Linked DNA regions of Lepisosteus oculatus. The protein of the gene in region 1 interacts with the protein of each later gene in a biochemical or structural test. Links are inferred from orthologs where the notes say so. Each region holds a gene or a part of one and is shown on either strand. Other genes may lie near its edges. The genes, in order: tfap2a, BTB/POZ domain-containing protein kctd15 and cited2.

Region 1 (10,415 bases):
TTTTTTACAGCTGTTTTAGAATGTGTAATTCGAATCTAGATGTATAAAGTTACTCGAGTGTACTTCGGTGAAGTGTGAATCGCCCGTTTCATGCTTCATTACGCTAAGTAAGCGCCTCCCTCTGGGCTCCAGAGTACGGGAATGTCTTGTAAACTCGCGGTGCACTAGACGTGTCTACAGCGGCTATTGATCCAGCGCAAGTGCAGAGCTTTATTTGGGTAAGAACGCTCTATGTGAACGCAGCGAATAATCTTCTTTTCAAATGATTATGATGCGAACTGCGATCCATCCCAGCAATTAGCACGTCCCAGTAAATCGTGTCCTGTGGAGATTCATTTTAAGAAACGAAAATCTCCCCAAACAACCCCACCATCTTATTCGGACCCCTTGAAAGTCCCCGTATTGCCTGCTGAAAAACTTCATCATCCCGCCCACACGATGAGCTGATGTACATTTTTGTCGATAAATCTTCTTATCAAATTGTTATCAACAACCCGATTTTTTACATTTTTCTCAACTTCCTAAGCAACAGGAGAAAGAACAACAAGCCATCTACTCCATTAAATGAAATAGTTTTTTTTTTGCCTAAAAGTGTTTCAAATTATAATGGCTTCGCGGGACGTCTGAGAAATTAAGACATTTATAAAGCCACCGATACTGTACAGTTTCGATTTCGTACAGGTTTTCAAAGCAATAGTTGTAACATCTAAGTTTCATCGAACAACGTCGAGTTCAAAGATTTCAAAGCCCGAAAGTGCAGAGTGTAGGTCTAGAGCCTATCATACTTTATATAAATGAACCTTTATGTAAAAAAAAAACAGTTTTGTTCTCTCGTTAATAAAGATTTAGTTAATACTAAATAATTCAGTATATGTGAAAACACGCCACCACACCACAAAACAAGATAATCGGTTTGAGATTCTTAGGGATAAAAAGCGCTATATGTATGTAATGAATTGTGGTCGTAATTATTGCATCCAAAAGTACTGAAATCGATGGAGAATCCAATCGAATATATCACCAAACTCTCTGGGAAGAGTATTTTTTAAACAAATACACTCAGCTTTAAGCCGCATTTTTTTCGGGTTATTAAAAAAAAGATCCAGCTGTTGAAGGAATAAACGGAAAAGGGAGAAAGCAGCCATTTGCCAAACCAAGTCGTAACTAAATAAAACCGCGAGCAGCAGGTATAACGCTGAAGAACAAAAAAAGCTTTGCACTTCTGTCGTGCGTGCCCTTGACAAACAAACACCACGCATGTGAATTAATTGGCCGAAATCCTCATTATTTGGGGAGAACGCGGTTTGGCCCTTTTTCTCGTACTACACTCTCCGACAGAACTGCGGAGTCTTCTAAGTGGGCAACATCTGCCTTTGCCCTGGTCCCGAAAGTGCAGTTGCGTTAAGGTGACCGGTTGTGGTTCAGAGACCTTGAGGCCGACGAGCTAGAAAGTTGGTTATATTTTCTCTAATACTTCGGGAGGGGAAAAGTGTTACATGGCCGGCGGACTGCGCATGCGCCACCCAGGTAGCACCCAACTTTTTTTTTTATGACCAGGTGAGATGTTTCCGTTCAGGTGAAAGCACAAATTGTCTTTGAGATCAGAGGTTCATGGAGATCCCACGCTGCGTGATCGCCACATAGAATAAGAAGGCTAAATAATGTCAGTAATGGCAAAAATGGGAGACTGGCAGGTAGGTGTTATTGCCTTTCGGATCACTTGGAGAATAGTTGCGCACAGGTGTAATACTGTCTGAATACATCAGCGCGTCAGCAAAATATTATATATATATACGATGACTATACTCTAAAACAACTGTCTTTTCTTCTTGATATCTTATAGCAATCTTTCAGTAACTTTCCATTTTTCGCTTTTTCCTGTTGGGGAGGCGGCAAGTCGTGACTCAGTGCAGCAGATACAAAGTTAATGATTTTTTTTTTAATTCAAAAGGATTGCGGATTGCGTATGTACTCGAATTCGTATGAACTTCTCTTGAATGTGCTCTGTTGGATGCTCGAGAAGGTGAAATGCTCTGTCTTCAGACACAGTATTATGATTTCACTAACAAAAACACTGGGATGTAAATTCACGTGTGGTCGGGACCAGTTAAAGCGCACTTTCAAAAATAAACCGAAACGTTTTAACCGTTTTCTGTCTAAATTTCCTTCTAAACCCCTTCATTTGCACACAAAGAAGTTAGCCTTCCGGCTGAAGTGAATTGGTCAAAAAGATTATGAAACCATGACAAGTACAGTAAAACAAATATTTAGTTTTAAACGTGCATGAATTTAATAGTATATATCTAAATTGTTGCCCAGTAATTGTAATGTAGGCCCGTTTCATGTGCAGTCACGCAAAATCATATTAATAAGGTACAACTATAGTCTCTTTGGTGGGCTGGTAATCTTTGTGATGAAAAGCAAACGTTTTCCGTTTTAATTTTGGGAAACAAAATAGCCAATAACGTGCTTACAAAAGGGTGAACAATGAGTTCTGGAGTTATATTTCTGTTTTTTTTTTTTAATTCAGATCTAAATTCAAATACATATGTCAAATACATCTTGAACGAGGTTTCGCAGTTCTAGCAGTATTATGAAACGGGGTCAGAAATGGAAGAAAATCGACACTTCAAGTTGAAAGTCGTGAACTGTGGAACATACAAGAAAAACTTTACATTCTAGTCTTCAAAATGCAAAAGAATACTAACTAAAACGCCGAAAACTCGTACTTTGAAATATGAAAATGGATTTGGGAATAGTGTCGAACGATACTGCTAGTTTTAATTTGTGAAGACAATCGGGCATGTCGGATAAAATGAATGTGCTTTTTAATTCAATATCTGTTTGCACCATACCTTGCATTTTAGGAGTTGGCATCACGGTGTGGCATGTAATGTTATGTACGGATCTATATATGTTTCTGCGGCTTTTGGCGGCTTTGTCCCATTCTCCGCCACATACACAGTTGATCACAGTCAGTCGTGGTTTATTTAAAACACTTGTTCGTGACAGTTTAATTTTAACTTAAAGATTAAAACAAGCCTTCTCCCACCCCCGCCCCTCTTCCAACACATGGTTACTTAATTGCGGCCTTACCACTGTAGTATTGTCATCCCTTCATTAATGACAACAGGTTTTGAAGTTTAGATACTGCTCCGCCAAAAATGGTAATAAAGATTATTAGGGTCAACGCCTTAGTCTTAACTACCTGTTTCTGCGTATACAACACAGGGTGTTGCTACAGATGCGTTTAGCTGAACCCGTGATTCGCAGTTCTGCTTTCAAATTTAGAACAATCCATTTTGTTGTGTAAATGATCTAAAAACAAAAAAAAACTTCAAATGTCTCGAAGTTAAAACTCCAACCCTATGTGTCGACTTTAACATAGTCTCCTTGTTTTGCATGACACTGAGAAAGTTGCTTCTTAATTCCTGACCCTCAATAGGACTAAAACAACTCTCTTGTCATTTAAAGAAGAGAAGAATATTCAGGCATGTAGTCTGAAAGGGGACAACATCTCGTGTTTTTGTTTCGCTCAGGCTGCTGTTGGCACACTCTCTGAAGAAAATAACGTGAAAAACGTCTTAAAAACCTTACATACGCGCACGATCATTGACTTTGGCTTCCCTGATCTCATGGGCGATGGTTCGAGTGTTTTAACTCTCATACTGATCAATGTATGCGTCTTAGAAAGGGCAAAGACCCCTTACTATATTTATCTTTCCGTACTTTAATTTGCTTTCGGCTGTTGTTTCTGAACGAACTCCCATAGATAACAAAAAAGGAAAAAGGAGAAATATGAACACTATATTCCATACTTAGAACTACGAAAAACTCGAAGTAAACCTATCATTTATGTTAAATATAAGCCTGTTTACCAATGTATAAGCATAGAAAATACCCCCCAATGAGAGATTCCGCTATTTTGTCTTTAAAATGCCTTCATCTTTATTAACGCGGATAGCATACAGATACAAATAGCTAAATATGTAGTCCAGAGCCTTTTTTTAAAAAAAAAAAGCAATTGTATAATTGGTGACGGAACAAACGAATCAAGATGCAGGGGGACTTTTTTTAACTTGATTGAATTCGATTTGAGAATCTTGCCCGAGTTCTACCTGTGTCCACTGGAGACGTCTGGGTGAGAATCGAGCTGTTGTTGATATGGTAATGACGGAACGCGGGTTATTATAGGACTGAAGCTTGGACTCTTAACATTGGCCATTAGAGGGAGATCTCTGAGCGCTGACAAGGAGCTCGAGTATCAAATAATTTCAGCTGTGCAGCAGCATTTACTTTGTGAAACAAGGAAAACCCCATCTTAACTCTTAATACAACCCATGAAAATGCTTTGGAAATTAACGGATAATATTAAATACGAAGACTGTGAGGTAAGAGGTCGTTTATTGTGATATATATATATATATTTCTTCATCCTTCCAAAAAACTGAGTACATTACGCTTGTATTATTGGCAGATAAGAAGAGTTCGTGTTTCTTGGCGTGTGTGTGTTTGTTTAACTGTGTTTGGCGTTTAGTTAGAAACTTCAAGGTTTCTTGTATAAAACACATTTTGGGGAAATTGTGTTCAAAACAAAATTAGATATCATAATCTTACTTCGCACGTATCCCGGCTTCTGTAAATGGAAAAAAAGATTGTGTATGTTTGCGGGTATATACTGTATATGCACACAACAGAAACAGACTATATATAAAGAAGCATTTATATTTTGGTTAAATGTGAAGCGTTATAAAACTATTAAAAATCCGTCTTGATCAAGAATGTGTTGTCATTACATTGATCATAACGTTCTCGTGTACACTGTGTTGAAGCAAATTAGTTGAATTTTATGTTTTATTTACAACTTTTAAACAAAACGAGTCTACAATTATTATTATCATTTTCAAGAGCTATTAAGAAGTGGTGTTTAATAACAACAAGAAATTAATTCTTGACTTCCACTCCGGCTTGAGTTTATGTCTGAATGTGTGATTTGAACGATCCCGAAGTTAAACACGAAGATTCACTGATTCGAAAAACAGTTCAAAAATAATTTAATTTCATCGTAAATTTCCGAATTCCCCAAACATTTGAAAAACGTATTTCAGTCATTTATATGGCATTTTCTCGGTCGAATAAAATGTTGCACGTTTTGCCTTATTTTTAAACACTCATGCGATTTTCTGTCGGGCATTTTGGTTTCTTTATATAATAAAAATTATGAAGAATAGCCATCTCAACTGAAACTGAAAATGTTTATTTAAACACAAAAGCTATTCCCATTTCCAAAGTCCATCTCGGCTGAATTAAATCCTATTTTGTTTCGTTTCCAGCGCAGGATTATCGCTGTAGTTTTAACGAGTGGCGTTTTTGTGTGAGCAGTAAGGTCTAAGTGACTGTTATTACAACCCTATTCAGTCAGCAGATACGGAAAGTTTAGTATGTAATATTTGGGAGTTGTTTAGGAGTTGTACAGCCAGTCAAACGGGTTTACGCTAGAGCCTAGAAGACGCGATACGCCAGGAGCTGGAAGAAACAAATGTTGGATGGTTTCACTTTTACCCAGCTTGGATTCTGTTTTTTTCTCTTTTTGTCGGGGAAATAGTTCGATCTTTTTTCGACGAAAAGCTGTGTAAACGGTGTTTTCAAAGGCAGACCTGTTTGTCGGACTGTGTTTTTCAAGTCGGTTCAAGCGTTTCTAGCGCGCAAGTAGGCTCGGAAGGGAGTGGACTTTTTTTTTTTTTGGCTGTTGTTGTTGTTGCAAAAGTGAGCCGAGACGAACGAGATCTGCGGAGCGTTTTTAAACTCCGAGCCTAAATCTGTAGCAGTGCCGGCGTGTTTGGTTTTCAACGCGGCTAGCCATGGATGAATCCATCAGTGAAGCCCGGAGAACAACAGGGCGCGGACCGTCTGAAGCTGATCTCAAAACCAAGGGGACAGAGAGCGCAGGCGGCCGCTCTCCAAGCACTAAAAATGTGCCAGTCGAGGTGCCCTTAGCATTTACCGGATTTTCGCAAGACTCAGAGGTGCTCATTGTTCCCTGCCTCTTCCTCTCTCCCTGTTTTCTCCCCTCATTCTGTATTTCTTTCACTTTTGCTTGCCCTCGAACCTTTTAAAATGTTCCCCCTTCTCTGTGATTCGTCAGACGCGAGAGAATGTCCCCTCTTTTTGTCTCTCTCCCTCTCTCTCCCCCTCTCTCTCTCTCTCCATCTCTGATTAGATACACTGATTCTTCATTCAATGGACGTCATTTAGTACAGACTCTGCCTTGAGTTGCTTCCTCGCTTCACGCTCGATTTCCGACCATTCTTCCCTTATTAAGTATTCGTGTAATATTAATAGTCATGAATATCTGCTATTAGGGATCCAAGAGAGGAACCAGATCTCTGCTAATATGAGCTCAAGTGAGGCAGCAGCTCAGTGATAGAGCGGGAAGACAGAAGAAGGATATAAGAAAACTTTAAATAATAATCTGCAGGGAAACAAAATACTGCATTTCTAACCCAAATGAAGGGCGGCAGGAATTTAACCAAATTCTGATGGATTATTGTGCTTCGGAGGTGCATATATGAACATTGGCGCTGTGATCTTGCAGTAGTGTTGATCTGGGCTTATTTTGTTTGTTCTATTTATTTTTACTGCTTTATCTCGTATTTTTCTGAAATTCTTACACCTTGAATTGTTCGAACCGCTTCGCAGATGTTAGTGCACAGTTTTTCAGCGATGGTGAGTTGCATTAAAGAATATATCCCAAGACTTCGTTTGGCATTTAGACTCCTTTTGTTGGCTCTTTTTTTTTAGAATTTAGCCTCGCTTTTTAAAAAAAAACTTTTGTATTATTGTGTTTTGTAATGAAACTGATTTTTTTTCTCCGAACGTCTTCACCGCATTTTAGCATTTACGAATGGTTGTAGAATTGTTTAGAAAACCGATCTATCGAAATTGTTACTTTTCTCATACAGTATTTGGCAGTTTCGAAGTGCCTCGTCCCCTTTGTAAAGAAAATACTTAAGATTTTTTTAGAAAAATATAGAAATATTATTTGCTTATTTGTAAAGTGCAATTTCGCACGCACTTCTGCTGATATTTGTTGCAATCTTTTTATTTGTATTATTATTATTATGATTATGATGATTATTTAGTGTAGTGTTGTTATGACTGTAACTACTACGCCTGGTAATAATAGTAATAAAATAGCAGAAAAACGCTGGGACCATAAAATCTATGCAAAGCCTATCTCATATTCAGGAGTGATCTGCCAATCGTGATATATAAATATTTTAGTGTTATATAGGGTATATATTCTAATATGGGGAAAAGAGAAATTTAAAGGTCTTTCATACACTATAACCAGCCCAAAATATCCAGCTTTTCAAAAATGTCAAAACAAATCAGGACGTTAGGCACCTGAAATCTGTCTTTCTCTATTTTCAGCCCCTCTCTCTCTCTCTTTTTTTCCTGCAATTTTATCAATTGACATTCGTTCCAGAAACGACCGTCGAGGTGTACTTTATCGCGCAAGAAAGAACAGGGAGGAAAGACAAAAACCCGCAAAAACGTGTTTCTAACCGCTGTCTCCTTCCAGGATCGTCACGACGGGACCGGCAATGGGACGGCGCGGCTACCCCAGCTGGGGAGCGTGGGTCAGTCGCCTTACACCAGCGCCCCGCCGCTCTCCCACACCCCCAACTCCGACTTCCAGCCTCCGTATTTCCCCCCACCGTACCAGCCGATCTACCCCCAGTCTCAGGACCCTTACTCGCACGTCAACGACCACTACTCCCTGAACCCACTGCACGCCCAGCCTCAGCCACAGCACCCGGGCTGGCCGGGGCAGAGACAGAGCCAGGAGAGCAGCCTGCTGCATCAGCACCGCGGGCTGCCCCATCAGCTGTGTAGAGAGTACCGGAGAGAAGTCCTCCTACCGGGGGGTCACGGACTAGATTCTGGACTGACGGACTCTATCCCCATCCACGGAATACCTCATTCTTTAGAAGACGTGCAGGTAAGACGGCCCCACGCCGCGGGAGTTTGACAGAACTCCCCGAGAGCAGAGCCAGAATATCTGCAGATATCAATCGCACCCGAATCGTTATCATTTTTTTTTTTGAGCTCCTATCCAGTCGCAGGTGGGCCAGCAGCGGTCTAGGATAGATCTGCTCTGCTTCTCGAAAGTCTTTTGAGACGCATCTCCTGCATCATCCTCTCTCGTGTTATCTCACTGTACAAATAAAAGGTGTGCAGGAAACGAGAAAAGGGGGAAACCTTATTTTACGACAAAACAAAAAAGCCTGTTTTGTTGGGTTTTTTTTGGGGGGATGCAGTCCATGCCGGCGTGAAACTATGAAATATTTTATTTGCACGAAATGTAGTTCCATTGTTGAAGTGGGAAAATAGATCCTCGCATCGACTTTTCATTTCTACAAAAAAGGTTCATAATAGAGATAGCCGCATTATAATAATTGTTCAGTCTTCTTTTAGGGTATTCTTCTTTTTCTATAAAAAAAATCTGTTAGGAAACATTGTATTCATAGTGCAAAAATGCGTTTATTTCTGGGGTCGGTTCGCTGTAATCTATATCCTGAACAAATACCGGTTAACATATCGCTGCTCTTATTCAGTATTTCGCCTTCCACTTCATTGCCGGAGTCTGGCAGAATTATCATCGTGTCCTCTTTGGAGGAAAAAAAAACAAACAAACGGGCATCAAGGATTTTTTTTTTGGGGTTTGAACGAATTGAAACCTGATGGTGTTTTGCATGTGACAATTTCGCGCTTCTGCCTTTTACCGGCGATCCTGCACACTGCTTTATTCTCAGTTGAATCTTGCTCGTTCAGGAGCACGCGATCTGCAGATGAGAGCAGAGGGCACAATGATATCAGTAATAAAACAACTTTGATCCGCCAGGACTGTGTGAGAGTAGTCACAAGGACCAGAGCAGAAATTCCGAGAAGAGTGAAGCGTAGAAACAGTTGTCTGTCACACATCACGAAATTACAGGCACATCCCGTTCCTGTGGAATGTAGGCTAAGCGCTACATCACAAGACTAAAAAAAAAATCATCAGATATTGGTAAATATGCTTACCAGTTTGTAAACACGGCTATTCAGAATATCCTTTGGCCATTTTAATTTTAAATTAAAAAAGGCGCAGCCCATTCTGATGAAAATGTATAAAATATGTACTTGGAAATGTCTTGATGTAGGTAAGGAAAAACTACTTGAAAACAACAGGAATTTTAGGGGATTTCAGATAATCTCATTTTTATTATCTTTTTTTTGTTTGTTTGTTTGGTGCTTTTATATCATTTTACTTTCCGGCTGCACTGAAACCAAGCTAGAGGAAACGACATTTCGTTGAATAAGACAGTTCATACCAGCAACTGCTGTTGAATTTCATTTTTGCCTCCTTGTTTCTTCTAACGTTGTTTTTCTTCTGTAATTATGTTGCAGCATGTTGAAGATCAAGGCATTAACATCCCAGACCAAACTGTAATTAAGAAAGGTAAGTAATTTCCTTCAAAATACCTTACATGTTTCTACAAGCTGTTGTACGCTGAGCGGCTGTGGTTTATTTGAGGCTTAGTGTTATAAAATACGGGCTACACGCAGAATGACAGAAGAAGCCGAAGGCGCGCTTGGGGTTTAATGCACTTTCAGCGTTTTGCTTTTTTTCTGAAGAAAGAAATTTGCATTTTCAGTGCTGAACTCATTGGCCAATGTTGGGAGAGACGCTTCAGCTGTGGCAAAAGTGCATTTCGTTCACTGTGGAATGATGTCCATCAGATACCATGTTGTGTGATACACTTAATGACGTAACGACACGTTCAATGTAATTTAGTTTTGTTCTCAGCTTGTTTGGATTTTGCTACCGTTTCGATAGTCTTTTGTCATAGGTCCTTATTGTTAATGGGGTGCCCACTTGTTTATTTTGTAAAGAAACAGGATTCTTGCTTAATGTACAGTAGGTTACTTTTTCTTAGCACACACGCTATTAATGTAGAATTACGTATATTCCACATCTTGAAGACTGAAAGTGCATCATGCGCAGATACTACAAGAGTTTTTCGGTGTGTTCATTTCTGTGTTTGTATGTGTGAATTCAGTCATTGTTCTTAACCCCTCTGTCAGCGTGGTATGATCAGGTTTAATGTTACATCTTTCTGCATGTGGAGCCTTTGTCAAGTCAAATTAGATGTGCAGGGGATAAATCTTAAGAGATGCTCTTTCCACGTCAACATGATAATTGGCTCTTATATTAGTAATCTCAAGAGTTCGTTTAACTCCTATTGTATCTATTAGCCTCCCCTGAGCTATTAATGTCACATGTGATCTATCCAAAACTGCTAGTCCCTTTGTCTTCGGTTACCCACTGAAAATCACAGTCCCTACAAATTAAAATAATAAAAAAGGTT
Region 2 (10,872 bases), on another chromosome or scaffold:
CTCAAGGCTTGAGGCTTCCCACGGGAGCATTTAATGGAATCCTGGACAAGATACTGTACAGAAAATAGTGTCTGTAGCAAGTTATTTTTTTAAATATCCAGCAGAGGGAGGTCTTGTGTGACAAAGGTTATTTACAGATAAAGAAGGTAACAGGAATGAATTGATTAATGTCAAGGACTCTCTACCTCGGAACTGAAGTGTACTTACAATGAAGTTTCTTTGAGCACTTTAATTTGTGCACTTTTTTTTACCAGATGCTTTCAGATTGTAAAAGACCGAACACTTGATTTGGTTTGGTTTGGTTTATTCCAGGATACCCTGAACCTAAAAGAAGAAAATAAACAAAGACATAATTTAAAACCAAATCAAGACCCCTGCCCCTTGTGAGTCCTTTTATATCATAAACTAGTCTCAATTAATCCCATGTGAAAATGTGCATCTTGCCTCTTCACTAAGTATCTAATTAATCAATTAATAAACCACATATGTGAACCTGTATACCAGCAATACAGACCTTTACGCCATCTAGTGGCAGGTCCGCTAAAATTACTGTCCTAATTACTGCTGATCTGCCACAATGAATACCTAGATACCTAGCGTGAACCAATGAGCTTGTAGAGGGTACTTACAAAAAAGACAACAAAAAAGTGCTCATGTTGACATATCATTTCTATTTAATACAAGGTGGGGGAAATAATAAAAAGTAATCTAGTTAAAAGTGTAGAATTTAAATCAAGGGATCTTATGCCATAATTACACAGTGCACTAGTAAGACCTCATTCAAAATACTGTGAAAAAGTGTGGTCAACACATATTATGGGAAGGATATCACTGCTCTGAAATCTGTCCACAGGACAGCAACCAGATAAACCCGGGTTTTAGAAGAATATCCTACACTGACAGGCTAAAATAAAATGAGCATCAGAGCAGATGACAAGAAGATCCAGTTATTCAACGTCAACTCTGTGGGCTTCTTCAGAATCAGCAGTGGAATATGGACAAGTGGACTTGAGTGGAAACGATATGGACGTACATTTAAAACTGAGATCAGGGCAAGCTGAGATCCTTGGATTCATCATCTACTAAGATCCATACAGCTATATGTCATTAAGTGGTTTTTCAAGAGCTTCAGATCTTGGAAACAGGAGTTTGAACAGTCTGTGAAATCAGTCCAGTTGACTTTGTTGACTTGTATTTTAGTCACAGAGAGATGAAGTTTGAAATGTTTCCAAATTGGTCAAAAAAGGGTAGATGACTAGTTTCCCATGCTCTTGTTTCCCATATATGTATACTGTATGAAGAATGAATGCTTGAAGAACTATTATTTTTGAAGAATAAATGTTTTCTTCAGTTAACAACCATCTTCACCTCAAGGAGCCAGACAGTATGCCTCAGTGAGTGTTGAGATTTCACCAGAAAACTGAACGTCCTGAAAATGCACAGAAAGATTGTCTGTTGAACCTGTGGTTTAAAAACCAGTCCTTCGGGACTATGGTTCCTAGCTCTCTAGTTCAGATAGTTCAAGGCACACATTTAGAGTCTGAGATAATGGAATGTCCTTTTTCTTTGCAGGTTTGAGGCTCTCCGGGACCAGGGGTGGAGATACCTGTTATATTCTGATTTGGGCATGAAGGCATGGAGGTCCGTGCTGCTGCCTCACAGCCGTGCTACCCTCTGTGTGGAGTTTGCATGTTCTCTCAGTGATCACATGGCTTTCCCCAGGTGCTCTAGCTTCCTCCCCCCTGCCAGACACATGCTGGCCAGGCTGGCCGGTGTCTCCTAGTCGTCCCTGCATGCTCTGTGCAGGGTGTAGCTCCACCTCCTAGCTTGTCCAGTGCCGCATACAGTTCATAATTAGACAGATTGGATTGGTTAAATCTTTGCAGATACTTTCCCAGACTCTTTATAAAGCTTATACATAAAACTTAAAAAAGACTAATAACACAAGAAAGAAAAATGCGTACCGATCAAAATTCTGATGGTCTAGTAGTAATCTCACTATTTTGTTTTTGTGTAATCGCTAGCGATACCGTGGTTTAATATACATGTTTTGTTTTATTCATAACTTCTTTTAAGACGCCGGCTTATACATTTTGCCGTTATCTGAGGCTTAGGTTGATAATACAAACAATCAAGCACAACAACAACAACAACAACAACAAAAGGGCGCTGCTCAGAAAAGAGATGAAATGACGAAAATAGAACAGCACCGGCTTTCAGTCGCGTCCCATGACGCTTTTAGAATCGCTGTTAATGACACCTGCTTCGGAACCTTGGGGCAAACTTATTATTCTTATAGGGTCATACATTAATGCATACATCTCATTTGCATACATGTTCCCTCTAACAGGCCTCCCGAATGTTGATTGATTCTTTCTTCAGAGTGGCACCAGTGACTTTCTTTTAATGGAATAATAATCTAATATGTATTAGGAAGACAATTCTGTACTTTGATAGTGTTATCATCATCATCATCATCATCATAATCATCAACAACACGGTCATCAGTACTTATCCCATAATTTTAACTACAAATATGCCGTGTGTACGTCTCCGCGTAAAGACACTAACCTTACAAATGACCGTGGAAATATTTGCCGTTGGGATCGAAGTGTGTTTGGTCTGTTAATATTTGGAAGGCTACTCGAATGATTGCATTCAAAACGTTTATATATTTTAATAATCGTATCGGCTTGGTTCGCCTTCGTAAGGGATAGCCGACCTGACGAAAATACCTGGCTGAACGTGTTCTGAGGCCTTTGATTTCAACAAGGTGTAGTTAATAGCAGGCTTCTATTTATTTTTTTTAGAAACACTACAAAATTAAATAAGCTTACAGTTTAATATTCTCTTCGGATAAATATAATTAACACAACTAAATCTTTAAACAATTCCAACAAAACGCAACACAATCCGTCGTAAAATGTACGGTACGGCAATTGTGCTATTCTGCAGGTGCAAAAGACTACCCAAATTCTGTGGATATTTTTCGTTTTCTCATGAATATATCGTTTATTGATCAATAGTTATTAAGCATCTCACATAGTACGATAAATTACTTTGTAAAGTATTATAAAGGTATCATTTTGGAAAGAATTCACGAAAAATGATGATAACGCTGAACATTGCCCCGGGCTAAATTCTAGTAAAATGTGAATCTTACGAAAGTAAATTTCGTCTAGTTAAACTAACTTATTCTCTTTCCTGAAACAAATAACCCAATAGACACATTTCCAGTAGCCTATCTGACGAAGCTGTACTTGTCTTGGGTACGTTTCGGTTGACTCTAAGGTTTGTAGTAAATTGATCTAATACATAGATCACAGATTTCACTTGTGTTTCAAAATCTTGGGCTTACACAGTCTACATTCTTGATGCACAACTGGAATGTACAAATATTAGATTATGTGAAACCTATTCGTCTGCACTGTATATTTCAAAATATATATCTCTCAGCCTTTCCCCTCTGTTAAGTAAAACCCGCTCAGTGATCACCACGCAAAATTAGCAGAACAGCTGGTGTGCGGTTAACGTGTCACCAGCGTTCCTACCTGCGCTTGAAACTGGTCAAGAATACCCAATATTTGGTCTATGTTGCATGCAAATCTCTGGGCTGACCTACTTCTCCGTCTCCTCTTCACTTCAGACACTCAGCTAAAATCCATAAATTAAGGAAATTAACTGATGGGGCCCGGGGCAACTTTGTAAGCTATTTAAATCTTTAAATTTACAACATCTTCTGCATACTTCGTGTAATTGAACTAACTGCGGGGTTGTTACTTTAATGAGAATTTTTTTCCTGTCTTCCTTGTAGTTTGTACTCCAGAAGACACAACAAAATTTCGCCCCGAGGGGAAAAGGTTCCTTGCTCTATGCCAAGGAGTGGAGGGATGAGGGGATCCGGGAGTGCGCAGTTGTCTCGGGTGTATCTGGGATCGGAGGGTCGCTTTTTCCCCAATTTCCCACGTCTTGCCCTGTCCGGAAGAGTAAGAGGAAGGCGAATGCGAAGCGGGTGAAAGATGGTATCTGCCCGATGTGTTTCTTACTGCCCGTCTTTATCGGGGGAAAGGCGACTCTCGCACAGGGCGAAAGATCGATTTCAAAGCGCACTTCAAATTAATCCATCGCTACCTTCAGCTCTTAACCTTGATCTTCCTCTTTCTAGAGTGGCCGTGCGTCCTTTCGGACACTAGTAGGCGCCAGACATCAAGAAACAAACACCGAGAGCGGGAATGCAAGGGAAGGATTTGGGAATACTGTAATTATAAGGCTCAATGCAACATTCATTATTTAGAACTATTTACACGCAAATAAACAAACAGACAAATAAATAAATAAACAGCTAGCCTATGTAAGCACCTGTAAAGTGGAGAAGGGAGGGGGGGAACGATGAGATTTTTGTACAGTTCAGTGTTGTAGACAGCGCGTTAATAAATGTTCTCGTGTATTAAAAGGTTGATCTATTAGTGTTTCGTATTTAAACGCATTAGTGCATCGTTTGTGTGTGTGTCTGTGTGTTTCAATTTTACTTCAACAGAATGAATCTCAGGGTAGAAAATCTGGTTGCTCTTTGAGCTAGCAGCCTGCCTTTCTGCTCGCTTGTATAGGAAGTCTTCACGGCAGACATCTCCATCTAGCCGTGTGCTATAATTGAAATGGCGCGTTTCGCTGGAGGCAGGTTGTGAGGGCGCTTTTTGTAATAGCAGAATGCATGTCGATAGACGTCATTTGGTTTTAATGGCCTACAGGAAATTTGGCGTTACAATACGAGACATTAGCAAGCGAGAAAGGAAAGAAAAAACAGCCGCATGGAAACTGTTTATAGAGATCTGCATATTCAACATCAGCATTTCTTATATAGATACTTTATCAACAAGTTACACAGCGCTTCCATAATCGCTCTATAAGTGCAAGAGATGAGAGAAACGTGCCCTGCGTTACTTATTTGGGAACTGAAAATTTATGCCTAGTTGAAAATGCCTGGGGAAATATTACATCAGACGAAATGACAATGATTAAAATCTGCTTTTTTCTTCAGTAAGTCTATCGAGCGACGTGACAGTGGCCTGATACTTAACATTAAACCGTTATCCCCCAGCAAACCAGAACTTAAAAACCGTTATAAGGATTTATTTATTTATATTTTGGGGGAAAAGGAGGAAAAATACCAAATGACTCGGTCTAATCTTCACCGGCATCTTGGGGAAAGGAGGAAAAATATCAAATTTTCATCTTGAATTTAGCTAGGGCGCGAGTAGGGTTGAGCTAATTGTAGCCTAATCCTTGCCCCAGAGGCGTTTGGAAAGCCTAGAGCAAGAATTCTTTTTAGCTCTCCTCTGTTATTTAGAGACGGATTATATTGGCTTTCTTCTTCTCATAACAGCCCGGCAGTTTCATTTTAGCAAAAAGAAGGACAAGAAGCTAAAAAAATCGCAGCTGGGGCCAGCCGTCTGATATTAAAAGTCTAGAAATAAGAGCGGAAAAAAGGGAAGAAGAGATTTCGTCTATGTTCAAGGTAAGGACGCTGCTTGCTTCCTGTGTTGCTGTTTTCAAAGTGCCTGATCTCAACTAGTCTAGTCGACACTCTAGATCTTTAAAGCTACAGTGACCCTTTTTATAACAATGCATCAGAGCTACTTTCCTTGGTTTTTGGAGGTTTTTGGGGGCTTGTCTCTGCGAAAGAATGGGCATGAAACTCGAGGAATGCTGAAGTACTTAGTTTTATGAAACTTGGAGGAAATGTTACGGAAAGAGATAATACAGTTCTCCTGGTGGACGGATGAAATCTGGCTCGGAATTGCTTCGGACTTTCCTAAAACGTTTGAAACGGTACACACGGCTGAATAATGCACGTATAGAAAGCTCGGCTCCCTGTTTCACGGGGTGATCTGTTTTTAATTTATGAATCAAGGAGATGCATGTAGCTCACTCCCTGTCTGTATGCAATGTTAGCCAGGCGCCAGTGAGAATGAATTTTCGAACAGGCTGCTGAGGATCCTGGCTGGTAAATATCGTGTTGTGCATCCCGAACGAAACACCATGCCGAATCACCGACACGTCTGAATTTAAAGTAATATATATGGAATATGAAAACAGTATAATGTATATTTTCAAAAACGTTCCGTCGTATCAAAAACATCTTTTCTGATATGTTGGTATGTGAAAAAGACGCCATATTGTGAAATTGGCAGTATTCCCCCCTTGGGCACAAATGTATGTTCAGGGGTAATAAAATTGTGGAAGCCGTGTTTCGCTATTGTTTTAATTTTTGGTGGGCGAACATAAACTTTTACGTGTAATGTACGTTTTCCTCAAAGGTACGCAGCAGCACAGCTGGTCGAAAATAAAACTTCGATAAGCAGAAGCTCTTAATAATAAAGTCGATTTCTTTTCTGTTCTTATTATTTTAATACAACCTCCGCGTCGTAGAACCGCTCACGCAACGTGTGGTGTTTCTGTTCAAAAGTTAAGATCGATCAACACAAGCGGTTGTGTTGCAAAATCAAACTTTTAGGTGGCGTTTTTTTTTTTAAATCACGTTTCCTGAGCAGCCTACAGTCCTTAACGTGTTGCCTACAAAATTGACTTCGGCGGCCTCTCGTGTCAGTCATAAAAAGGCGATCATTTCTTTCATTACCGGTTACAGAGTGTCTGATGGTAAATAACCCGAGAATACTTCAAGCATTTAGTCAATGAGAAACCGATAATACAGACCGTCAGGGAACAGATGTTAGTGCTGATCTCATTAAAGACGAGTCAATGGTCCTTTTCGAGTTCGGATGTTTATTTTTGTCTGGGGACTCCTGAGAACACTTTAGACCGAGCGTGGAGATAAATAAATAATGTGTGTTCCAAAAGTGTGAGCAGGACTCTGCTTTATTTTCTCCGGTACACTCATTCGTGATTTATAGTTTACATCTAGGGCTGTTTAATAGCCTTATTTAGCCCCATTCATTTTTGAATTTTTCATCTTTTTTTTATCCATTTCGACCCCTCTGGCTGTCTTGCTCTATTTTCACCTAACCCTTCACCTCCTCAGCCCCTCCCTCCCTCCTCTCTCCGTCTTTCCTGTTTTTTTTCTCTCTCTCTCAGTTGGTGTGTGTGTGTATATACTTTTGTATCAGGCTTATTCCCCCAACATTAATATCAGTATTGGTTACCATGGCCCGTGGCTATATGAAGAGGTGGGATAGCTTCATACGCCCAAAAGTTCTTAAGTCTTTTGAAGTCTTTCTTTCACTGGGATGTGAAATGTATCATCCAGAGTGTGTATTAAATGAACAGTATTCCTGTAGGCTTCGTGTGTTGCGAGGCAGGCAACACCCTGGAAAATTCTGTAGTCTTTCTGCATTCTCTGCCCCGGGCATCTTGCCGTGGGCAAAAACGCTGAATGGAGCGCTAACAACAGCCTTCTGTTTACCTTTTATGGTTAAAATAACAGCCTAGCAAATGAGCGGCTTCACGGAGGAACGATTCGGTGAAATCACTCTCAAGCTGCGGTAACATAGCTCGTTTAATCACCTCTCCAAAACTGAACAACTGCGAGCACAATAGGGAAGAAAATGATTTTGTGCGCAAATGAGCGTCGCATCCCGAGACGTTAATTTCAGCGCAACATGGGTAATAGTTCTGACAACACTCTCGATATGCGCAATTAGCGCGTTAAGACCTTGGCCATCTGATTTGGGGAACCCCCCACAAAAAAATAAAATAAAGCGTGTATTAAAGGTAAAGTATTACCCGAAACGACCTATCCACACGTGGAGGGGGCGAGGGCTGCGCAAAGTTCTGACTGACGTGAGGAAAAAAGACGATACTGGGGGGTAACGCGTTCTTCAACGCGATGTATTAAAAACAAAACATCAGTAGAAAAGTTTCCGTGTGGACGTGAAACATGTTATCAACGCGTTAAAAGGGGCGCTAAGAAAAGAGCCATTTTGATCGCCCTTCCCCGTGTAGTCAGTGAAGCAGCTGGTGACTCCTCATCTGGGGTGAAGTCCCGTGTGTGATGGTGTCAGGCTCCAAGAAGCGCACAGGGGGGTGTTGCGACTGGCGCTCGGTTCACGCACCGGGTCAGACTGACAGACGTTAGAGGTGACGGATATTTACACGACATTGTCACGCCGCCCAGCGCATCTTCGATATAAAAGTGGGGACGACTATATCCGTATTCTGTGATATTTCGTTATTCGTTTATAACTCGCGGGGCAAAAAGTGATTCAAGTTTTGCCCAGAGTCGATGAAAGGTTATCGACCTGCGCTGCGGCTTTTCTCGTCCTGCTGCATCTTTCAACCTGCTTTCCGAGCCGAGCTGTGCAGGACAGGCTGACGCGAACCTCGTACCTCGCTTTCCTTAAACTCTCGTTTCAATTAACCCCCACCAGTCGCAGTTCATTTCTTATGTAGCACAGCAAACGTTTTCCTTTGCAGAAGAACTGAACTACAGGCGTTAAACGTATGTTTGACTTGCTAGCAAACCACAAGCCAGTGTGCTGAGAATGAGATATAGGCTAATTAAAATGGCATTTTGACAGTGTGGCCATATCTGAAACAGCGTAGACTTTGGTTCATCAATGCAATAGGGAGCACGTGGATAATCTATTTCATGTACAGCTGAACTTTTCTGAGTATTTAGCAATGAAAAGAAACATCTTTCAGGGATCTTTTGCCTAGTAGATTCAACATGCGAAGAGAGACATCTTCGTCATTCATTAATATATTTTATTATTAATGCTTATTTTTTCCTTGAATTATTGCGTTGTCTGCTAATTTCAGGTTACTGCTATTTTTGAAGAATTGGTTCCTAATCGAGTTTTAAGAAATGACATATCTTGGTCAACATTTGCTTTTTAAAAATATTTTGGGACATTTTGTGAGACAAACACCATTATTGAGTCCGCCTTTGGAGATAAGGAAGTCGTTAATTTCGAGGTGTCTAGTTACTGAGACAAACTTGCAAAAAGCCCCCGAATCCCAATTCACAAATTGGTTATTCGTTTGTCAGGGGATATTTCACGTCTAACACATAAGCCCACGACCTTTAATTAGAATTTTGCAGTTTGTTTTATCTCCCTGGAGGCTGACACCTAGCATTTTTCTTTCTTGATCGCTAATAAGCAACCTTCCATTCTTCCCTCCGGTAATCCGAGGAAAAGGATGCAAATACACTTAATTAGAGTTGTGGCAATAATTTGTAAGCTAAATATGCGATCAGGCAGATGTAGAAGTGATCTGATAAGAGCCAAGATCGCACTTGCTCTAAAGGTACGAGATACTGTCATTCTCGAAACGCGCCTCATTAATCTCTTTGCTTTCTCTCCCCCCCCAACACCCCTCCCCTCTTCCCTTTTTTGAACATTGGCTTGTACACAGGAAGGACGAAGCATGTCACGCTTGTCTTTGACCCGGTCTCCAGTGTCTCCTCTGGCCGCTCAGGGAATCCCGTTACCGGCTCAGCTGACGAAAGCGAACGCCCCGGTTCACATCGATGTTGGAGGACACATGTATACGAGCAGTCTGGCAACTCTCACCAAATACCCGGACTCTAGGTAAGACTCTGCTTCTCTCCTCTGATTCCCCTACCGCTCTGGTCTGCGGGAATGACGTATTTAAATGCATGGTCATCGTCAGCCTATCTATGGATCTGCTGTAGCTGGTATTATCCCTGTGACAGTTCATACAACGTTTCTTCTCGGGAACCTTAAGCTTCATTTATAGGCAGTTATCTTCACGCGAGTGCCTTTTGCTGGTGTTGCTCTTCTTTATTTTCAGTGTGCTGATAAAAGTACCCATATCAGCACATTACTAACTCAAAATAGCTGGGGTTGCATGAATCTGTTCTATAATAAAGTGGACTCATAGGCCTACCTTTATTGTCCGTAAAGGCGTCAACAATAATTTGCGTTTTCAAGTTAAGCGTCTGAGACAAGAAAGGTCCGACTTTCACTGTCGCAACTTGTCAAACGTATTAAGATCACCTTATAACGCGCCATCCCTTTATCCTTCAGCTTCCAAAATGATAGTTTACCCTCTTACTGTTAATCTACTTTAGTACACGTTCTGCTTATTTTCATCCACAATGTTTTGTGTAGAAGTACACTTTTTCACCACTTAAAATATAAAGTGAAAGAGCACAAGAAACAATCATCACCATTTGACGGAAAACGGGTGATTAAATCAGATGAGTGATTTACATACAGTATGTTGACGTTTGCCTGTGTTCTCTTCAGGAGTTCGGAGCGCTTGACTCACACTTGAACGAGATTCCTCAGTTATCACAAATTGAATAGGCGTAAGAAAGCAATACCGGGTGGCTAGCTAAAGAAAATGCATGGAGAAGTTTAAGAAAATGAGTCAATCAAATAGTTCTTTAAGGGTAACCATGTTTAAGATAACCGTGAATAGTATAATTAAAGAACAAGCAGCTCTATATGTCTTAAGCAATAATCGTATTTTCTATTCGTGTGAAGCCCTAAATACTGTAAATGTCATGGGATTTGTACGCGTCAGTTCCTAGAACTGAAGGAAGACCAAACTCTGCACTACTGTATTTTAGAAAGTTGTCGAGGTGATGTTCTTATTTTAGAACCTCATTACTAATAGTGTGTATCGCATATGGGCAGGAGCAAGCGAACCATTTAATCGAGCGTCTGCAATAATATTATCGACATAAACGTCTCCTGTAGAGCTATCTGTAAGTATTTTCCTTCTCTGACGTGAAGATTATTAAAATCATTTTTAAAGAATAGACACTGATTTGATATGTGTACTGTTTAACAGTGTATACAGTATATATCAATGAAATATATTGTATCTATTGAAGAATAGGCAACAACTCAACAATGTTTGACATACATCTGAAGGAGTAAGGGC
Region 3 (10,763 bases), on another chromosome or scaffold:
ACACTCAATACCAATAATACTTATCTCAGTTTCATGACACCTTTGAACAAAGATTGCAGAAGATGTATGTGTTATTTAGCATTACTATTTCTTGCTGGTATGCACTATCTAAAAAATACAACCTAGTTCAGTGTAAAATCATTAGTCTGAGCTCTGGCTAATGGAGAATTATCCTGTCTTAAGTAGCAGCACTCAAGTTCCACAATTCCACATGAGTTCTGAAGCCATTAGCAGAAAGAATAGCTATTTTGTATTGGGTGCTTTTTCACATTTACTGCGTAAATGTATGCAAAGTAGTTAGGATGGAATATCCCTGTGGAGACAAACACTGCTAAAACAAATCAATTTGCATCTTTTTCTACTCTGATGCTGCAGAACAAGATTCTCTACTCTTTGCCATTTAGTGAGTCAGCATCTAAACTGACAGTAGAAAACTGAGTTGTTTGTATTCCAGAACAAATTTGGTGTATAATAATAAAATTGTAACAATATTAAATTAATTCACTGACTGCGGTGTTTTAAAATTAGAAACCTTTAGAGAGAAATAGTTTCATCTATGTATTGTATGTAGACACTCAAACCCCAGTTAAATAATAGCTGTTTCTGAAAATCAACACATACCTTGATTCAGGGGGGGAAAAAAAGTGTTTACCTGTTTTTGTTTTATGGATTGCTTTCATAAAGTTGTTTATAATGTAAACTTTGATAACTGAACATTTTGAGACTATTCTAGAGCACACTATGCTCTTTATGACAATTGTATTAGGATGTAGTTTTGGAAAGTAATCTATAAAACATTCTGTAGAGTTTAAAGCATTGGTTTCAACAAAATTATAGCTTATTAGATCTAATGTGTATATTTGTCTTTGCGCTATTGAACAACTTACATCACATTGTGTTGTACTTATAAAAAGTAAGATTTATTATAAAATATAAAGTAAAATTCTAGCTTATGTGCTAAATGTAACAGAAAGAAATGACTCTTTACAGCCAGCCAGAATGTCTACATTTTATTTCTGTTTTTATAGTTTATTTGAACCCATTAAGACATAATTTTAAAGAAAGCTATTGCTTTGTAATTCATATTATCTGTTGAACTTCATGGTTCATCACGCTTTGTCAATAAGGAAGACTTTCTCAATACATTCGGACATGTTTATGGGCAATCCAGATGGGTTAAGTTAGTCATTTTACAAACTTCAACAATTTTCCACTGACTTCTCATGGACAATTTGTTCTTATACATTATGTGTACAAAAGGTTGTAAATTTATTGGTGTTTATGTGTAAAAGTACCTCAAATTTGTTGTATATTGTGAAACTGTACAGAACAGTGTCCAATGGAAAACCCTGAAGAAAATGCCACTTAAGAAATGCGCAAGATATTAGACTGTGTCCAATACTCAACAGTCAAACAAAGGACTGTATTGCATTTTGTTTACCATAGCGTGTTCTTTACCAAGTTAAAGAAAATAAGGATTTCATTACAAATGTTGTTTTTGTATTTTGCCTGAATGTAAGTCTACCAGCCCAAATCATTCTTTACCAGCGGATTTTAACCTATAAAGCTAAATGAAAAAACGCAATTACACATTTTCTTTTCAGAATACATTTTATCTGCTTTTATTTATGTTTGCAAATTAAAATATAATAAATTAACATTTTCTTCTAAAAAAAATTTGTACAAAAATACTGTCAAACTTTCCTAGAAAGCTTCAACACAGTAGTATTGCCTTGTACCGCATAAACTAAATAAGCACAGTGGTGGAAATTTTGATAACCAAAGATGCAAAATAAAAAGGGAAAAAAACACCTCTGTAAAATGTTCTTCCTTAACTTGTCAACATTCCACATCATTTTATTGTCTCTTCACATAAAAGAGTGGGGGAGGGTGGCACATTTTTAAGAAAGAGTATCCTTTTCCATGGCCTGACAAGTCTCTTCTTACTCCCTTAAAGACACAGTATCCATTTAGGCTTTACACTGACTCTTCTAACCTTAACATTTGGCAATTCAAATTATTTAAACTTCCACAGAAATTCAGGAACTGAAAAATTAAAATTCAGGGCACCGACATCAGTGATTCTAGTTCAGCATCAAAGCAACAGGACATTTTGCAAACTAGTTTGTGTGCAAAAAGCATTATCTTGCAATTTTCTCCCTTGATAATCAGACAGATCATTTAACAGCACAAATATCTGATAAATATATGGCCACTAAATTGTACAGTATATTACTGTCTTTAACAAATACACAGTACCTGCCTACAAGCATGTTTAATAATCACATAATTTAGTATATGCTTCATTTAAATTTATATTACTTTAACACCTCTATAAAAATGTTTAAACAAACGCAGGAAAATAAATATTTGACCTACCACAGCATTTTTTAAGATTTCGTTTATTCTTTGCACAAAGCAATTGTGCAGTTAACTACGAAGCTACCCGCTTGCTTTTGGGTCTTCTGTGCTACCTTCTTCATTTTTCCAAGTACAAAGTTGAATTAACTCATAATGCATAGCATGAACTTGGAAACAAACCAGAAAAGTCCCTTGCAATGGTAGTGCACTCACAAGTCATACCTCTCTCCTTGGAAGAAATGATGATCCATAGCACAGACCTCTAAATTTTAGAGGCTTAAATCAGTAAAAATACGTAATTCAGCAGAACTCTTAATCCACCCTGAATATTTAGATTAATTGGAATTCCAGACTGATGCCATTTGATACACAGGTTAAAGAAATCATGTTAAAAAGGAATGTATAAATGTCTTTCTGAGGAAAACAAAAGTAAGACGAGTCCTTATGGTGAGACTAACAGCTCACTCTGCTTGGTTGCTGTTTGCAAACAAAGTCTGTCATGAAATCAAACTCATTTTGTCCCAGCCACAGCTCTGGCAGTTCCTTTATTCGGTCCAATCCCATTTCTATGACTAAAGACATCAAGACCTCCTCATCAATAAAATCCGTGTCTATGACATTGGGGGGCAGTATTGCTGCAGGCACATGGTGCGCTGGGGGAGGCATACTGGAGGTGCTATGTTTTGGGTTGCAGTCTCTGAATTGCTGTCCTGTCCCGTTCATCTGGTGGTTTGACGAATGTAGGTCTGACATATAGTGATGATGAGAGGGGTGAGGGTGATGGGTGTAATACTGCGTGTTGAGCTTTTGCAATTGCATGCTTGCTGCTAGCTGTCCTTGAGTGCTCACGGCGGGTCCCACATATTGCGAGCTGTATCGTGCAGAAGGGGCCAGGCTGCTGTTAGGGTGGACACCAGTCACATTTCCGGGTCCCATAGAGTGTCTAACGCCGTGGTTAGAGTTCACATTTCCCCCTCCGTAGTGCAAATGTTCACCCATTAACCCGTTGTACCCATGCTGCTGCTGCTGCGGCGGCGGCTGCTGCTGCTGCTGATGGTGAAGAGGGTTAGAAAACTGTCCCATCGCCATCCTGCGTGTGGGATGGTGAGGGTGAATGCCGTTTGCAGATTCGCTGAATCTTCCGTGGTTCATGGACATCATGCGGTCAGCCATTCCTTCCTTCTATGACACATAAAAGCGAAGTTTTAAAATGATGCACAAAATCCGAGGACTACTCTCGTCACATGCACAACATTAACTTCCAACTCGTTCCCATTGTCACTGTCATTCTCATTAAACCTAACTCCGCAGCACATGTGAATTGCTCTGATAAAAGACTGGCATAGTCTTGAGGTTAATGTGAAGGTGCTGCCTTTCAGGCATTCGTGTAATCCATATATTCTTTAATAATAACAACTCCGAATTGAAGACACGCTGTCAGAATTGTTTACCCAACCTTAACTCATTTGCTAACAAGGGCAAAAAGAAACGGAAATAATTTGCAATCATTAGACGTGCACAAAAAATATAAAAGCACGTAAGTTACCTACAGATATTTTTTAACAAAAAACGATACAGTCACGAAACAACTCTTCTATTAAGCTAGTTTTTACTGAGAATATAACCCCAGGGATTTGAAACTGTATAGTTCTTACCTCAAGGGCTGTACCTTTTTACTTCGTTTCCCCCGTTTTACTGTCCGCACGATATGATAAAGTACACCGATTTCAGTTACTGCACGGAATCTGTATTCCAAGTCATAGAGCCCAGCAAAGCTTTCAGATATAGACACACGCTCCCAACCTCTGTCCAACAAATGAGAATTGCTCAAATCGCCTGTGGTCACTGCTGATATACAATCATACAGGGGCGGAGCCACGGCAAACCTTGAAACTGACGAGGGAAAAATCTGGATGCAGGATCCTGTAAAAACATGGAATAGTCTCACGCTTCTGTCTACTGCGTTAAGCAGAGTTTATTTAGCAACATTACCTAATGGCATCTTAATTTCTGTTGTTTATGGTGAAAAAGGCAAAGTGGCACAACTGATTAAAATACACTGAATCCAAGTTTTTCTTATCGATATTTGATTTTTACTAGAATGTTACTTATACCTTACTCACTCATTAAATGCAAATCAGGAAAAAAAACATACATTAAGATAACTGCCAAATGCGTTTCTGCTAAATTATGCTAGCGATTGCTTAAAGGTGCAAAAAATTTATGTAGAAAATTTACACGCTACAATGTATTAATATGCCATGATTACTATATATTTTAAGAGGTCAACATGCAAACGAAGAAGACGTACACACTTTGAACATCTGAAACAAAGCACTAAGCACCGGAAAGGCTGAGCTGAGCTGTTAGAAAACATATCGTCAACAACATTAACACAAGTATAACTGAGCTGACATGAGCCACGACTGAGGAGAGCCAAATTTAACATTATAAAGAGCCCTTCACTAACACCCTCTCTGCAGGACATTTCTCAGCTCCGCGTTTTGTATGCAGCCTATTCCTTTTGCAGACGTGCGCTCTCTCGAGTTGACAGTGTTCAGCTCCCGTAGCTTTGGCATCTGAGCTGGAGCAATATAGGCGTTTCTTCTCACAAATGCTCCCAGCTTCACCCTAGAGGTGGCTACTGACTTACACCAGTATATTCCCGTAGCTGGTCCACAGGGTGCGAGCTCGGCTTCCCTTTACATGCCCTCTATGGGGCTTGCCGAGGCCTGATCAGGCTTGTGATTAACCGAGTCACTTTGGAAATACATTAACTGTGGGAACACCTATTTAAAATCACAATGCTAAGACAGAGTGATGGCTGCAAGAAGGACTTACACTGGAAAAAAAGCCAAAACATGCATGGAATTTATTATCACTGATTATCTCTTACACTGTAAACTTTTTACTGTAAATTTTATTCTTTACTCAGCAGTTTATTAGGTGACCCCCGCATTGTTTTAATACACCATTTCGTGGCGGTAATGTTGACGGTGATTAATAAGTACATCTTATATCCCTTGGAGAGACACTCTACGCCTTAATCAACAGTGGCAAATCGGATGAAAGGGGACCTTATTGACCCTCCAGGAAGGTAGTTGATTATCCTGGAATGCACTTTACTAACCCACCTATGGACGGTTTCCTCTGTGACCTTTTACCCCGTATTGGCTTGCTTAAAGGCATAAAATATGTGTACGTGATAACACGTCAAGAGTAGGGTAATAACATCAGTAAAGGCTAAACGTGTACTGATCACTGTAACGATCAATCGTTTGCAAATAACTGCACTACAGCATACGATTAACAGTGGTACAACACGTGTACAGTAAGTAGCGCGAAAATAATTGCAGGACATTTCAGACATAACGGTTCACTTTAGTGGAGGCTCCCATTGAGCTTAATCAATAATAATCTGATCCTTTGGCTTTCATTTGGAAGATGTTGAAGAGGTACATTTGTGGCGATTATTTTATCCTTCTAAAAAAAAGAAACATTGTTAAAAGTGTTACTTGACCCTATGAACTGAAAAGATAGGGTTAAGTAACACTTTTAACAATGTTTTCCCCTGCAGACGTGAGGTGCGGAATGTACCCACAGCGGAGAACAAACAGCGTGTCTGCATGTTCTGAACACTCAAGTGCTGAGTTGGACAGTATGAGAGAGGGAGGGGTGTACCGGGGTAGACAGGCTTTAGTAGCTACTGATTTGCATTAAAATATAGTACACAAATTGGTAGAGAGCAGTGAATTTTCTATTAAGAATAATCTGGTAATTCTTTTACCGAAGATAAATTATAGTTTATGTATTTTGTTATTCTCTCTTTTAGTCACATGGGTTAAAATGTAAATAAAAACGTAAAGATGTTTTTTCAAAGGGTAAATAAAAAAAAATCAAATTTACCTCCAGATTCTGCTTTATTAGACACAAGAGACAAGTTATTAAATTTCAAATCTGGAAGTTGTAGTAGATAGATCAGACTTTATTGATCCTAAAGGGAAATTGAGGTGTTACAGCAGCCCAGCCCAAGACAAGCAAAAACAGTCATAAGAATAGACTACAAATTATAATAAGTACAGTAATACAAAATAAAATAGATTTAGGTGTGTGCAAAATATGCTAATAGTAACTGTAAAACAATAAAATATGTGCAAAATGTGCGTAGGTATATACAGATTGAAAGTACCACAGCATAAACAGTATATTAATGCAGTGTCCAAAAAGTACATTAGTGCAACATGCTGTCCATAGATGAGCAGATGAAGGGCTAACAGCCCTAGGCTAGGGCAGTGATATACACCTTGAAAGCCGCCGGGAGGAAGGACCTACGGAAACGTTCCCTTGAACACCATAGCTGGAGCAGTCTTTTACTAAAAGTGCTCCGCTGTTTCTACTAACAGTCTCATGTAGCGGATGAGAGCCGTTGTTCATGATGGCTGTGAGCTTGGTCAGCATTCTCCTCTCAGCCACCACCTCCAGCGTGTCAAGGCTCAGCCCCAAAGTAGAGCCAGCCAAAGCTGAGCCAGTTTATGGAGTCTATTTTCATCTCTTGCCATGATGCTGCTGCTGCCCCAGCACACAACAGCGTAGATTTGAAGAGGGGTGCTTCCACCACTGATTCATAAACAATGTATAGCAGTGAGTGGTTTAGGGGTTTATTTACACACTGCAAGGTCATAGTAGATGAATTATTGAACTTCTAAGTATATTTTTAGGTGTGGAAAATATAATACAATTTTAACAAAGGGGAATTAAGTCAGGATACGCAGTTCAAGGCAGTCAAGTTTGCAGGTATATCACCCTTAAACTCACAACTGGCAACCTACTGAAGCTAGGCAGGTGTGAGCCTGGCCAGTACCTGAATGGGAGACCCCCTGGAAAAGCTAAGTTTATTTGTTGCTGGAAAAGGTGTTAGTAGGACCAGTAGGGAGTGCTAACTCTGTGGTCTGTGTGGGTCCTAATGCCCTAGTATGGTGAAGCAGACAATATGCTGTATAAAAAGGCATATTCGAATGACACATAAAACCGAGGTCCTGACTCTCTGTACTTGTTAAAAATTTAAGGGTGTTTCTCGAAAAGAGTAGGGGTGTTACCCTTGTGTCCTGGCCAAATTTCCCCTTGGCCTTTACCAGGCATGGCCTCCTAATAATCCCCATTGATTAATTGGCTTAATTACTCTGCTCTCCTCCCCACTGATAGCTGATGTTTGCCTGCCATCGCATCATCCAGGTGGGTGGTGATGGAGAGGAGTTCCCATTACCTGTAAAGTGCTTTGAGTGGAGAGTCCAGAAAAGCTTTATGTAAGTGTATATATAACAAACTGACTTGGTTTCAGTAACATGCTTATGCTTTCTTCTGCTGCTAGTTTATTAAAAAGTAACTGTGGTTGCAGAGTACCTCAAATTTGCAAAAGATCTGGATCTGGATGTAAAGTATGCTGGTATCCCTTTGAGAAACTGCCCATTAGAGGTGTAATGCATGAAAATCTTGTAAGGAAGTGTAGAAGAGTTACACAAATGTAGAGAAATAGAAACACTAAAATTAATTAGCCTACAGTATATCAAGCTGTTGATTAACCTTATAATTTTTAATTTTTATTGTATCCTTTATATGTTTAGTAGTAATGGTGATTAAAGATGTAGTAGTTATTGTTGCCTGAGCTCATTAGTAAAATCCTTTTCAGCAACAATGACGGAAAAAAGTTTTTTTTGTGTGAAAATGAAAGTGGAAATAAGCTAGCAAGAAGAAGCCTGAAAGTTGTCAAAGTGTTTCAGAGGGAACGATTTGTGAATTGTCTGTGGAACCCCGGTGAGTTGAAAATTGAAAAGAATAAATTGTGGCTGTACATTGCACAAAATGAGTATCTGCGATGAAGTAAATTCATTTGATTTTCCCTGTTCTTGGTGTGTTTTTGTTGGTGTTTCAATTCACTTTGTTTGCATAAAACCACAACCAATCTGATTTATAAGTAGCAATTTTAAAAAGTGAAAAGAAAAATAAGGAGATATTGACATGGTGGGATGAAATTCTGCATCTGACAATGTTATGCTGTTTTGTGTTGATAAGAAGAGTGAAACACCTGTTTGTGGTTGTTGACTTTGACTTGAAGGCAGCATTCTTACCACTTAGCTGTGATGGAAGACCTCTAAGGAAAACCATGTTGCAGCTGCAAGTGGTGTGGGTGGACCAGTAGGAGGTGCCATTGTTTAGAAGATGCATTACATTGCAATCTCCTAACTACTTGGGACGTACAGTTCCATGACACTTTTCCTAAAAGTAGGTATGTTAGTCCTGGTGTCCTGGTTAAATTGAGCTCTGCGCATGAACAATCAGGCTTCCCTAAAATTCTCCCTTAATTCAACTGGTAATACAGCTCCATTTTATGTCACTTTACTACATCTTCCCTAATAAATTTCTTACTTCTCCACCTAAACCACTATGTAGTGGGGTTGCTAGCACAAAATGGCTGCCATGTGTCACCCAGGTGAGAGCTGCACTTCACTTGTGGGTCCTTTCTTATATGTCAAGGGCTTAGGGATTCTTTGGAATAAAAAGTACTATACAAATGGAAGCCCTCACAGTTGTTATACAATCATCAGTTAGCTACTAGTAACAAATACCACAAGCCGAATAGCAGCCTCTTGTTTGTAACCTTTCTCATGTTCCCTTATTCTAATGACAAAGTAAACCCATGCAACAGCATTTGAAGTGAAATAAAAAACAAAGGGCATAAATGGAAATATGTGTTTAAGACTGAGAACAGGAGAAAAGTTTTTACACAAAGGGATGTTAAGGGTCTGAAACGTGTTGCATTGCAGAAGTTATGGGCACTGTTGAAAAAAGTCTGAGAAGAAGAAATACATTGTTTTGTAGCCCTTTTGCAATCATTGAAGGAAGAAGAACGAATAGCAAGGACATTTAGTGACTATACAATGCTGCTTCAAATAATGTAGGAAATCTTTCTTTGTATTCATTTCTTTTTTAAACTTATTTATATGAACGTTAAGTGAATAGGCTTGAAAGGAATTTTTGTTCTGAACTGTTACACAATGCCTTTTATGTATAGAATACTGTAATCATTATTTAATGTACTTCTGGTGTTCTAAAGTTGCCATATTTGTTTCTTCATATATTTTTTTTTATTTGATTGTTGTCCAATGAATTTTGATTTTGATTATAGTATGCTTAAACATTGTTTCTCTCAATTAAAAGTATTTGGAATAGCACTAAGAAAAAAGCGTTTGTGTCTTTTTTGCTAGGAACACTGATGCAGAGGTTATTATCTTCCATAGACTCACTCCTGTGATTTGGGCTCAAAACATTGGCTGTCATAATGGAATGATCTAAGTTACTTTAGTCATGGTTCCAATCATTCTACTGGGGTTTCAGTTTTGATCGATAGATTGAATCAATATCTTCCCAAGAAGAAAGGTGGATTTTGTTAGTTATAGCGGTAAATATTACAGTGTTTGTATTTGTAATATTTACAGTTAAAATTCATGTCTTATATAATAATAGAATCTTATGTAATTACTTTGCTGCCAAATTCCTAGTTTTACAAAATGATTATAATAAAGCTTATATAATAGTTTTCAGAGGCTATTAATGCAACTTCCAATGATTTAGACAGATTCCCACATAAAAATACTCCCAATTTTTCAGACCCCAAAGCAAAAGAATATACTTGCTACTGTAAAATTTGAACTTCTGGTTCAAAGTCCTGGATTGATTTCTGTCTCGTTCTCCCTGCTATGTAAAGTATTCAGACAGCAATGTCAAAACTGTTCCATTTGTGTCATTTGGATCGTGTTTCACTGCTGAATCTAAAGAAGTGGATGAGGACTTTGTGTTTTTTTCCCCCTAACAGTCGCTTAGTCTAACAAATTAGGACAGTCCTTTGAGCCCAGAGCAGCAATAGAATCTTCATAAAGTACTGAGACAGCAAAATCAAAAGAGTTATTTTTGTTTACAGTCGAGTGATTTTATTTGTGATCATGAGATTAATCTAAATGTTTAATAAAACATAATTTGTGTTTTATTTCCATGTACTATTTGTTTTAAGCAACTCCATTCATATGTCTGATTATTCAGGGATATAGGTAATTTACCATTTCGTTCTAAATTTCCTTCTAAATGACTAAAGATTTAATGGCAATATTAAAAATTTAGTAGAGCAAGAATTCAATGATAAGAGCACTGGTAATATACATGTATGAGAGTATTTTAGTTTTCAAGCCAGAAAATTTGCTATTCAATGTGGAAAAGAAATTCAAATATTCCAGAAGAATAAAGAATTTGGATTTATGAATAACTTTAATTTAGCACTCATTGTTTAATTAATTAAGGAATTAGTATGAAGTAACTGTCATGAGCACTACCCAGTGACAATTAGGTCAAAG

Evidence for each region.
Region 2: the proteins of tfap2a (region 1) and BTB/POZ domain-containing protein kctd15 form a complex in vitro, tested with the Homo sapiens proteins (2 studies listed by BioGRID, with this or other methods). The link is inferred for Lepisosteus oculatus from reciprocal best matches to the Homo sapiens genes TFAP2A and KCTD15.
Region 3: the proteins of tfap2a (region 1) and cited2 form a complex in vitro, tested with the Homo sapiens proteins (2 studies listed by BioGRID, with this or other methods). The link is inferred for Lepisosteus oculatus from reciprocal best matches to the Homo sapiens genes TFAP2A and CITED2.

What each region holds. Positions count from the first base shown.
Region 1 is NC_090701.1:3,958,225-3,968,639, reverse strand, and holds the start of tfap2a (transcription factor AP-2-alpha), read left to right. Parts: upstream 1-5,476; 5' UTR 5,477-5,861; coding exon 5,862-6,026; intron 6,027-6,068; exon of another isoform or gene 6,069-6,699; coding exon of another isoform or gene 6,700-6,726; intron 6,727-7,585; coding exon 7,586-8,005; intron 8,006-9,453; coding exon 9,454-9,505; intron 9,506-10,415.
Region 2 is NC_090715.1:15,300,490-15,311,361, reverse strand, and holds the start of BTB/POZ domain-containing protein kctd15, read left to right. Parts: upstream 1-5,574; 5' UTR 5,575-5,739; coding exon 5,740-5,829; intron 5,830-9,372; coding exon 9,373-9,548; intron 9,549-10,872. UniProt on the Homo sapiens protein: During embryonic development, it is involved in neural crest formation. Inhibits AP2 transcriptional activity by interaction with its activation domain.
Region 3 is NC_090697.1:20,216,556-20,227,318, reverse strand, and holds cited2 (cbp/p300-interacting transactivator 2), read right to left. Parts: upstream 4,330-10,763; 5' UTR 4,017-4,329; intron 3,544-4,016; exon of another isoform or gene 3,541-3,543; 5' UTR 3,535-3,540; coding exon 2,815-3,534; 3' UTR 996-2,814; downstream 1-995. UniProt on the Homo sapiens protein: Transcriptional coactivator of the p300/CBP-mediated transcription complex. Acts as a bridge, linking TFAP2 transcription factors and the p300/CBP transcriptional coactivator complex in order to stimulate TFAP2-mediated transcriptional activation.